Linked DNA regions of Neodiprion lecontei. The protein of the gene in region 1 interacts with the protein of each later gene in a pairwise test. Links are inferred from orthologs where the notes say so. Each region holds a gene or a part of one and is shown on either strand. Other genes may lie near its edges.

Region 1 (6,923 bases):
CAAAATTACATCATCTATTCTATCTTCCGTCAAATATAGAAATATTTACCTCGCCTAGGTGGTCACATGATTCTTCAGGTACTGTAATTTTCAATTCTTCGATTGGCGGTAGACCCTCAAACTCACTTTTAATATTTTTGATTTTTGGTAAATCAATTTTACTGACCCGTATAGGGCTGCAATGTAACAATCATACGTCACAAACAAAATCTTGTCCACACAAACTGCAGTATTCATCAACAAGCAATTTTTCACATCAGGTAAGGAATATTTAGCAATGTCTTACCTGTCTGATTCGCTATCAATATCACTATCGGTTTCTGTGGTATAATTGCTACCACTGGAATTTATACTACTAGATCCACTTTCAGAGTCATCATCTATAGACTCCATTCGATACTGTGTGTTATTTTGTCTCACATTGCCACGGTCATCAACAATGGTAATTACTTCGCATGGTGATGATGGTCTTTTTTCATTTTCATCCGAATCAGAACTTGCATATTCTGCCGCTAAATACGATAAGGAATTTACTACGTTTATTACCTCTACTTTGGAGATACCATCCCTTGAGTTTGAAGCTGCCTGAGCTTTTATTAAATCCATCGAAGCTGCGTTCTCAACGCTTTTGTCTTTTTGCATCAACTCATTTTGATCACTATTTTTGATCTCAATAGGCCTGTCATTCTGTGCGTCTTGAGCAACCAGTTGACCAGGCAATGTGATCAAATTTGCTGTCCGAGTTGCGTGTCTTTCTTGTATTTCTGGAGTATCAAGTCCATTTCCAACAACTTTCAAGGATTCGACATCATCTATGCTAATAGGTACATTAATCTGACCTTCCTCAGTGGTCACATTGGCCTCGACAGAATCATTTACTGATTTCATATACGAGCTGTCAATCTCCATTAGATCATGCTTCGAACTTGTTTCTGACGTATGTTGAAGCAACTTTATCGAGTCCGTAATTTCATCTTTCTCTGTGACATCTTTGATGTTAGAATATACAATTTTTACATCATCTACAGTGTCTCTTACATTCTCTTCACCGATATCCACCCTGCTTGATTTTGAGGTTAGAAGAATATCTTCGCGCTGATTCTCAGGGTCCCTTACGCCCTCGGAAGACATGGTATTATGATTTATTGGTAATTTACTTTGGTGTAGACAGTATTTTTACATGCGAAATGAACAATAGTTAATGATGTACATACCGCGGAAAGTTTAAAAAATACCATGCGCCATAGCTCCGCCGTCTCAGCTACTTTCCGCTCCCTCTAGCTCGGTATTATCTAACTTCCACCGAGTTTCTTCAACACTTTGATAGATGTCAGGAACGGTTTTATTTTGTCAACGATTTTGTTGTTGCTGGTTTTACTTGTGGAAAATTGCGCAAGCAAACTGATTGTAATTGTATAATACGTTTAGATTTTCACCTATCCTAATAAATCAACAAGAATATGAAAGACACGGTGCACAGCATGTCGACAACTCCAAATACTGAGGCTGTTCACGGTAACGGAGAGGTAATTGGATCGTGACAATTAGCGAATGTGACGGTTATGATAATTTAGAAAATTTTTGTCTAAAAATGTGGTATTATTTATTTCAATTAAAAATGACTACCTTTAGCTAATACAATCCATAACTGAACAAACACATGAGGTATAATTGATTTGTTTTAATTCATGTTTTTTTCAGGCCTTGCCAGTGGAGGAATCACCAGCCAAACTAAAATTGAGAGGATGGCTGAATCGTCACCTTAAAATCAAAATGACCGATGGCCGAGTTTTGACGGGGGCTTTTTTATGTACAGATCGTGATGCCAATGTTATTTTAGGCTCGTGTTCGGAATTCTTGTCAGAAGAACACACCGAAGCTAGAGCCCTGGGGCTTGTTATGGTGCCAGGTCGACACATTGTAACAATTCACTTAGACGCATAATTAATAATAAGTATAAGAATAAACTATTCTACGTCTGTACATTGACCAGTCAATACATTTTAGTAACATATTATCTTACGATTCTCTCACAAATATCAACATCCAGCACAACTGAAGTAACCTGTAAAGGTCATTGTTGTCTACAAAGTTATTATAATCGGCACAGCCCTCGGCTCAAACAAAATGATGGTTTTTGGATTGATATTCTTTAAAAGTAACATCGTCAGTCAGTGGAGACACCATTTTTGAATACCTAACCAGCTGACGTCAACGTTTAATGTAAACAAGTGCTGCGTGGCACGGTAACTGACAGAAGCAGAACCCCAAACGTCGTCGTGGAGTGAAATGTCAGTGTAAGATTCCACGGTGTTAAAATACCGTGAAGATCCAAACATCTTTGTGCAAACGGAGTGTTAAGATGCACGACGCCTACGAAGCTTCACCTCTCTTGAAATTGACAGTTCAGATCGAATCAATTACTGCTTACGGTAATGAGCGCCAAACATAACCTCAATCGTTCTACACCTTAACTGAAATAACTGTGCAGTATTCTAAATTATATATAAAACGCAACTTTGAATTATCAGTGAAACTTTTTACTTACAGATGATAACTTACTCATCGGCACTAGACAGGGACATTTGTTAATGTACAGTGTTCCTCCAAAGTCAAACGACAAACAAGAATTACAATTGCTTCGATACGGTAAAAACTTTAGCAAAAAACCTATTTTGCAGATCGAAGTTGTACCAGAGTACAACTTGTTGATACTTTTGACCGGTGAGTCGAATAAGAAAATAAAAATTTGAATTTTCAATTGCCAATAAGGCGATAACAATGTCCGAAAATCAATGTTTTAGACAACATCATTTGCGTACATGACTTAAATTCTGCAACAATCCCTCAAATATGTCAGTTGCAAAAAACGAAAGGTGCGACGCTCTTCGTGTTGGATGTACAACGTACTCAGAGTTTGACAGGTGAAAAAGATACAATTGTTCGCTTGTGTGTTGCTGTGAAGCGAAAATTACAATTGTACGAGTGGAAGGTGGATCAATTTATAGACTTTGGAGAAGAATTAACTGTTCCTGATGTGCCTCGAGTCTTGTCGTGGTACGAAACAAGTTATTAGATTGTAAAAGAAAAAGGTTGAGCAGCAATTGGTTGCATATCTTATTTAAATTTGCTCGGAACATTTTACGCTGTAGGTGCGGAGAAACTGTGGTTTTGGGATTCCGTGGATTATCTTATATACTTTTGGATCTAGATGGTACAAGTAAGGAATTATTTCCAAGTGGAAAGTCTCCTGAACCAGGGATAACAAAACTGTCAGACACGTCTTTTGCTTTAGGAAAAGATTCACAGTCAATTCTTATGAACACAAAAGGAGAATTGGTCCAACACAACTCTGTCAAATGGCCAGATTCGCCTAGTGCTACAGGTATCAATAATCAGTAAAACAGTGTTTCTTAAATACAATTCAATTCGAGATATTAAAAAATATATTGCGAGAATATTTATTTTCTAGCATGGGATGATCCATTTCTCATGGGTATAATTAACGATACTTTGGAAGTTTATACCTTGGAAGGTTGTTTACACATTCAAACGATACCAGAACTTAACAAAGCTAGATTATTGTGCAGGTGTAGAAAGGGCCTTGTTTATGTAGCATCAGTTAGCCAAGTTTGGTGTATAAATGCCGTGGAGGTGACGCATCAGATTCGAACACTTCTTGAACAGAATCAGTTTCAGCTGGCTTTAAAATTAACTGTGAGCATATCATTTATTATTGAAGAATTCATAAAATAATTGTTTAAACAACCAATGATCATGGTAAATTATCTGTTTCTAGCATTTGTCTGACATAACAGAAGAAGAAAAAGCAAAAAAAACGTGGAAAATACAAACGTTATACGCCCACTATCTTTTTGCTAATAAAAAATTTGCCGAGTCTATGGAGCAGTTTTTCAAATCAGGTACTGATCCGTACGAAGTAATCAGACTTTTCCCTGATCTGGTTTCCCAGCCAACCAATGCCAATGAAACTAGCGAACATGTTACAACTGTGCCAATATTGCAAGACCGTGATTTGGAACAAGGCTTGCTTGCCTTGATTAAGTTCTTGACAGAAGTGAGACATAAATTAATGGGTGATACGCAAGCAAAAGATAAAGAAAATGAGAAAAATAGTGAGAAAGATACAATGAAAGGAGAGAAAACCAAGAATATAACAGCTGTGGCTACAGAGCAGCTTTTAAAAATAATCGATACAACATTACTCAAATGTTACTTACAGGTAAATCTCAATTTTGTATTACTTAATATTTTGGCTATTCAGAATAAAATGCAGTCTTCAATCTTACAATAAATTACATTTACAGACAAATGATGCCTTGGTAGCGCCACTGTTGCGTTTAAACCATTGCCATTTAGCAGAATCGGAGAAGACTTTATTGAAATATCAGAAATACCCAGAATTAATTATATTATATCAAACAAAAGGTCAGCACAAGAAGGCTTTAGAGTTGCTTGAGAAACAATCCAACGAAAGTGATTCGAGTCTAAGAGGTACCGAGAGAACAATTCAATACTTACAGCACCTAGGTAAGGACCATATGGATTTGATTTTGAAGTTTTCTGGATGGGTTTTGGAACAGGACCCAGAACAGGGCCTCAGAATATTTATGGAAGATGTGCAGGTAATAATAATTAGTAGCATACCCACATTTTTCATCTTTCTTATATTCTGTGAATGGAATACTCTGTGGAAGCTCCCTGCCGTTATTTTACTAACTTGTACATATTTAATGCCGACAGGAAGTTGAACATTTGCCACGTCCCAAAGTATTGGATTATCTTTTACGTTGTCACAAAGACTTGGTGATAACGTACTTGGAGCATGTGGTTCATTTTTGGATGGATAACAATCCTCTATTTCACAACGTCCTGGTACACCAATATAAAGAGAAGTGTTTAGCAGGCTTGAACCCAAATGCTTCGCCGGCTGAAAAGCAAAATGTTCAGCACCTTCGACAGAAACTACAACAATTCTTAGAGAAGTCAACTCATTACACGCCAGAAACGGTCCTAGTTCATTTACCATTTAATTGCCTATTCGAAGAACGTGCGATTATTTTAGGACGATTGGGTCGTCACGAGCAGGCCATCTCCATCTATGTAAACTTATTAAATGACGTCCCCAAGGCGATTCAATTCTGCAGTAATGTATATGCAAAATTCGAAGGTTGGTATCATCTAAATGAATAATAAAAATATTCATTCTACATGATGAATATGTATTGAAGGTCAGAAAAATTCAGAAAAGGGGAAAAATCAAGATGGGGCCGACGAAGTCTATGTTACTTTGATCAAGCAACTTTTGAAGCCGGACAACGAAGGTGTCTTGGTAGCTACTGGTAAATCTCTATCATTTTCAAGATTCGCATTGTGTTACAGAAATATTTTTTGAAGTTGCGCTTTTAAGTGTACCTGTTGGTAAACTTATTTTATACTGTAGGGTGCACTCCAGAGAACCGAAGGACAGCTCAACCTGACTTGGAAACAGCTTTGGAATTGCTTGAGGAACATGCTGCAAAAATCGAACCCTTGAAAGCCTTGGAGGTTTTGCCTGACAATGTACCAATAGGTCGGATAAGACATTTCCTCGAGGCTAGCTTGCAGAATAATCTAAATGAACGACGAAGGACCCAAATTCTGAAAGGCTTGCTTTATGCTGAACACCTCCAGGTACAGGAGCAAAGAATGCATTACGAGTCCCAGAGCGTTCTCTTAACGGAGTTCAATATTTGTCCGGTATGCAAAAAACGTTTTGGAAATCAAAGGTAAATCATTTCAAAAATCTCTATTCGTTAACCGAACCATAACTGTGATTATAGCTGAATGATCCTTGCATATTGTCATTAAACTTAATAAAAACATTGATTGGTTGGTATACGCTCCAAGGACCATACAAATTACAAATTTTGAAACAGTGTTACTCAGTTTTTTCTAAACTAATTACAATTATGTTTTTCTTTTTGTTCACAGTGCATTTGCAAGATATGCCAATGGTGATATTGTTCACTATTCATGTCAAGAGAAAAAGGCGTAACGTATGTGAAAAGAATATGTATATAATTTTACATTATCGAAATCGAACATTTATAAATACTACTATACTATGATCCCCAAGTAAACGTGCAAAGGTATTGAAGTCAAAGAATCTATTATTGCATATATTACCTATGAATTTATTTTATGTGTTTCAACGTAAACGCATATGCTCGGCTGGTAAATCTTGGACTGTTGAACCTACTATACTTATATAACAGCTGCCAGGCCTGTATCTGTATAATCTTAAGGTGCAAATGCACCGAACGAATCAGTAGCTATGTATATGATCAGTAAATTAAATATCTGCCAACAGTTTGGTCAAAAAATAATTTCTTTCAGCCAAGTCACTCTCATTCCTAGTGTAAGATAACACAAAATTATGGATAAAATATATAACGATACTACATCTGCTAAGATTGATCGAACGCGTTCAAAGCCGAAAGATCGTGCCCGGGATACAACGATTCTTCTGTGCCGAGATTATCGCCCAATAATAACGTATTAAGTATCGAATAAATATAAAATACAGCAAATAATAAGGATCATTGAAGGATGGGGCGTGCCCATCGGCAAAATGTGTAAACGGGGCCGATGATGTCATACTCTTAGTGTATTCATACGCCCAATGTCACTATAGTCCGTGAGTCTATAGTTTACATGCGTGATCCCTGAAATTGACTAAAAACGCATGAAATCGGAGTCTGCAATTCACTTTTCGGATGAATTATCGTTCGGGATACACCGTCGTCTTTTACGGCGGCCAAATATTTCGCCGTGAACGTGATTCTCGGCGTCGCGACGCGCGAGTAGGCGGGACTAGTTCTTCTCCGCGAGGTCTGGACGCCGTGTTGCATTGCACAGTT
Region 2 (4,978 bases), on another chromosome or scaffold:
CTTGGCTAGACGGCGAAAAAGCTATGGAGATACATATTTCTGGAAAAAGCGCTGTTAGACGATCTCTGTTCTTATGCAAAGTCGCGTATTCGATGGAAAAGGACGAGTCGTGATCGGCCGGACGCAAGGGCACTCACAATATCAACGCGATTCGCGGTACTATGTGCGAATCAGCCAATCTGCGTGTTTTCATTTTTTTTTTTTTTCAGTGGAAAGAAAGACGAGTAAATTTTTTTTTTCCAAACTTAACAGTCAACACAGCAATAACACAGATACATTGTATCGTGTCGACAATATGTTAAATTTATAATCACATGTACTTTGACTGTTGTTGATCAATCAAATTGCGATAACGACTCAACTAATCTATTTCGTTTGTCCGTATCATTTGTTCATGAAATATGCACTTTGATTATCGGAATGAGGAGTACTGCAATATGAATCACAGTGCAAGCATAACATAAATGTTCATACAGCGTCATTCATTTGTTGCCGAACGAGAAAGCGACTCTCGTAGCTGTTTTATCAGCGACTCTCTCTGATCGGGGTCTCACGTTCAGCAACAAATCAATGAACCTGTATATTTACAATGGAATATACTTTATGTTAGAGATCTGAGATATAGGTATAATTTATGCAATACGAAAAAACTTTTAATTAATTACAAAATGACGATTGTTTGCAATACAATATATTCTTGAGGATACACTTGAATGAAAATTTTATTACTGTCGTACATTTCTCAGCTTCTCTTTGTCTTCCTGATACTTGTAATGAAGATCCTTGCAGTCCTCGTCGGAAATGTGAACCCATCCAGTAGATTTCATGTGATAAACTGAAATTAACATATATTTACAATCGATTGATAAATAAAATCATGGTTAATCCAAAAGTTGTATTGTAATTATTATCGGAATTCACAACAAATTGGGGAATTCGATTACAACTGCCACTCTTACCTCGTATTATACCCCCAGAGTACGCATCCCTGTGAGTGGCATGGTAAATGGACCTTCTCCCTAATTCATAGGCTTCTTCATCTGTCAAGTCCCAGTGGTAACCGGAATCCAAAACGCCAAAGGCGTATACAGAGCCAGAACCAACACTAAACACTTGACCGGCTGTTCGAGTTCCTTCTGAATCAACATAGTATAAGCCAGGCCCTCTTTTATCCCAGCCGGCGATCATCATTCCTGTTAGTGACAATAATATTGGCAATTTTATTAATAAAAACTTATTTTCTCTATCATAACACACTAGAACCTCGCTTAGCTGATTTTCGATTAACCGAGATTCCGATTATCTGAGACACCCATTTCACCCCAGCACACCACATTAACCGAGGTGTATCCTCGGATAATACGAAGAACCTCGGATGAAACGGAATAATGTCGTGTGCCTATGTATGAAATAATCATGCATCGCTCTGTTTTGAATATGCTGTAACATGGCATTTCTTGAGCTGGTCGGGTAATCGTCCGGGATCCCGATCCAGTCCAAGCCGTGAGACATTTATTTGGGACCCGTTGGAAATGCCCGTCACAATACATAAACTTAAAAACATAAAAGTTTGTTGCAATTTTATGCATTCCGAATTATAAATTCGACAGTTACTTTTCTGGATTCAAGCAGAGGGAATATAACGATGGCTTGAATTGTGAATGTTTTTCGTATTATCCGAGATTGAAATTACATTATTTATATTCGAATTGTACATTGTGCAATGTTCTAACTAATTCAAGTACCTAAATCTCATCTTAAACTATGATGTCCGTAGGACAATTCATCTTCATGAATTCATGAACCAACGCAACATACCCATAGAAAGGCCCATTCCTTTATAATTGTAAACCATGTTGGACATCAGTTTGCTTGCAGCAGCAACAGAGATTCGTTCTCTGTTTCTAAGCTCATACATCCGGCATTGCTTTGCCAAGACACGATCCCAGTAGACGCAGTCAGCAGCACCACCAGCTAGTGTTCCCAAAAGATAGTCATTGATCTCAACGATCTTCTTCATGCTCTGAGACCCTGCAATGAATATAAAATGATTGAAATTTCCTCCTGTGCTGTAATAAGGATGTCAAGGTATAAAATTACTTCAATTTAGGATCGCAATGACAAAATGGTGTATCGTCATAGTCTTTATTATCTCGTACTCATGCGCTAGTGGTTGCGCCCCTTATTTAAGTTTACATCAGAATGTAATTGTCCAATTCATAAAAATGTTGTTTGAGTATCTGGTACAAGACGTGGCTACAAAATAAAATTACGGCTGCTGAACTTACCAATAAATTGGCCACCAGTAGCACGCGAATCCACAGCAAGAACGACGCCACCTTTGTAACGAAATCCAAGGGTCGTTGTGCCATGATCGAAATTTATTTTCAATTTTCTTCCATTTTCATCGGTCGAGAATCGAGACAAATTTTCAGCCGGCTATTGGGTGATTAGTTTAATGTTTAAATGGGTTAAATAGAGGTTAGGGTTAGCCAATCATCGATGGATGGTACGAATTATGTGCCGAATAAGTAGTTATGAAGTGTGTAAGTTTTGGGAATTAAAGGAACGCAACAGCAGATGTCACAAATTTTTGGCAGCTCAATATGCTGTACTCAGTATTTGGAACTGAACAGCCGATTCATGAACAGGGTAACGGTGATGATGATGCAGTTTACAAGGAACTGTCAAACTCGACAAATATTAAAGATAATACGTACGTTTGCGAACGGAGGCATAGCCAAATTCAAGTTGTTGCTGAAATTCTTGCTGTAGGCTTCAATTTCCCCTTGAAAATTGTCATTATTTCTGGGTAAATTGAAATCCAAGTAAGAATTTACTCCGCAAACTTCAGCGAGCGCCATGTCTGATACTGTAACAATCACGAACTACTTTGTCAACTCTGCGAAGAACCACGAGTTGCCACCACTTGCCACCACAGACGCCACAGAGCTCTACAGAGCTCTAGTGCTCTCACTATGCCGCGTCATTGAGTAACAATCATTGTATAACTGCTATATCGTGCAATTTTTCGTGCCAGTTCGGTTGGTAAGGTAGGCAAAATGCTCATCCGTAATTGTAGCAATTTGGCAGTGTTTGATGGTAAGTGATCACGTCAATAGGTTCAGTCGGTCACGTTTGGGTATTTTATTCTTGTTTGAATACGATTATTCAATGCCTGCACTTTTCGACTCGTCTTGTGCGATTTCAATGTGAAATCCAGTTGGTATAGCAAAATGCAGCAACTTCTCAACGATCCTTCAGCTTCCCTTACCCAAAAACAAACCCAAAAACAAACCTAAGTTTCAGCCTAATGTATGTTAGGTATGTAACTTGGTGAGCCAGATTTTCACGGACAGCAAAATGCTGCTGCAGTATTTTGCTGCCGTGAAATGCCAAGAAAATAGGTAATTCGCAACCACTGCGCGCCAGGTAGCGCTAGAGTCCGTTTTGCAGGGACTCTTAGTAGCGCTTCTCTAATTTATTGTCATTCCTTTTGGTGGATAGCTCTGCACCAAAATACCACGGCAGCATTTCTAGTCCAGGCTTTGATTCTTATTCAATTTCAAAGAGATTGCAAAAAGTTACATGGAAATCCATGCAGCATCCGCGTAGTCTGAGGTGAATATCTAGCGCGCCTCGACTATTTGCCGCCCGTGAAAATTCAGCCTGAGTGGCGCCTTCAAGTTGAAGAGTCTGGGGGTGCAACAGTTTTCTGTAATTCTCTACCAGCGCCATGAGGTTTGAAAGAAATTTCCGAAAATCTTTGCAACTTTATCGAGCTGTTTAAAAGTTTAAATGTATACTTTAGGGAGATGAATGCAAAGGGCGAATATAGGGCACATGACCCGATAGTAATCGCTATTGAAGTAGGGAATCGCACAGTGTGTATATTATATGACACAGAATATCGCTTTTATTTTGACGTTAACAACCAGAGTTTGTTACAGACTTCTTTTATACGTATTCTATGCATAGTGTGTATAGACTTCAATTAAGAAATTATTTTGATTGTCAATTGTAGATATGCAGGTGCTGTTCAATATAAGATGATATACCTATACATTATTGTATGAGATTCTAAATAATTCTGTAACCGCCGTATTGAAGGATTGAGGAAAGTTTGATCGAACGACAGATGTGTGAATTTTCTGAATTAGGTGTAATATACAGTGTTACATCGCAGTCAATATTTATCCCTGTATAATGGATGTGAGACGTCTCATAATCAGATGGTGCCGAATTACAATCAGTCGACTCACAATCAGAACCACATCAGTTAGGTACATTTTTGAACATAGAACTCTAAAATACGCATGCTTGACAGGTAGTACGCAAGATTTTGAACGGAATATTGTTGGAATGTAAATTGAGATTGGAATTTTTATAATAACATACATGCATCTTGAAGGAAATCACCTTATTATATATAAAAAAAACCTCACATTGTCTGCCCAGAAAACTTTCTACGATTATGGCTTAATTAAGAATCTCGGGAAACCTGAAGTTTCAATTGCGAATGTTCAATAGTTTACGTATATACATGTAGGTGTAATATGATATATATATATATATATATATATATCAATTATATCATATTATATATATATATATATCAATTTCTTGTAGTGGGTACTCAACTTAATTAACAATAAGAGACCCGTCGCACTTTTTACCTCAGTTTGGGAGAAAATTTGTGCTTACAACAATTACCATGCTTGCAGGTGTAGTAAATAAGTAAAACTTGTAACGCGTGTATAAAAATAGATTAAACTTTTAGCGTAATAGATGTGATGAATGACGTTGGATACTTGATATAATGTAAATTTACTAGAGGCGAGATCATTACACGCGCAGTGTAATATAGATGGGCATCTGGATAACCATATTATCCTGCATTACACATTTAATATCGAACTGTATTATTTGAGGGAGAGGAGAATGAATATTTGAGATATATCTATATACAGGCAGTGAA

What was found.
Region 2: the proteins of vam6/Vps39-like protein (region 1) and proteasome subunit beta type-5 interact in a two-hybrid assay, tested with the Caenorhabditis elegans proteins (2 studies listed by BioGRID). The link is inferred for Neodiprion lecontei from reciprocal best matches to the Caenorhabditis elegans genes vps-39 and pbs-5.

The regions. Positions count from the first base shown.
Region 1 is NC_060265.1:27,124,456-27,131,378, reverse strand, and holds vam6/Vps39-like protein, read left to right. Parts: upstream 1-2,166; 5' UTR 2,167-2,362; coding exon 2,363-2,432; intron 2,433-2,550; coding exon 2,551-2,724; intron 2,725-2,804; coding exon 2,805-3,057; intron 3,058-3,152; coding exon 3,153-3,385; intron 3,386-3,472; coding exon 3,473-3,717; intron 3,718-3,799; coding exon 3,800-4,243; intron 4,244-4,328; coding exon 4,329-4,646; intron 4,647-4,764; coding exon 4,765-5,191; intron 5,192-5,252; coding exon 5,253-5,363; intron 5,364-5,464; coding exon 5,465-5,789; intron 5,790-5,994; coding exon 5,995-6,058; 3' UTR 6,059-6,389; downstream 6,390-6,923. Other genes in the region: H/ACA ribonucleoprotein complex non-core subunit NAF1, read right to left, coding at 50-176, 287-1,131; N-alpha-acetyltransferase 38, NatC auxiliary subunit, read left to right, coding at 1,461-1,526, 1,702-1,944. UniProt on the Caenorhabditis elegans protein: Plays a role in vesicle-mediated protein trafficking to lysosomal compartments including the endocytic membrane transport and autophagic pathways.
Region 2 is NC_060262.1:42,577,799-42,582,776, reverse strand, and holds proteasome subunit beta type-5, read right to left. Parts: upstream 2,924-4,978; 5' UTR 2,865-2,923; coding exon 2,721-2,864; intron 2,440-2,720; coding exon 2,289-2,439; intron 2,032-2,288; coding exon 1,819-2,031; intron 1,194-1,818; coding exon 960-1,193; intron 893-959; exon of another isoform or gene 836-892; coding exon 726-835; 3' UTR 632-725; downstream 1-631. UniProt on the Caenorhabditis elegans protein: Component of the 20S core proteasome complex involved in the proteolytic degradation of most intracellular proteins. This complex plays numerous essential roles within the cell by associating with different regulatory particles.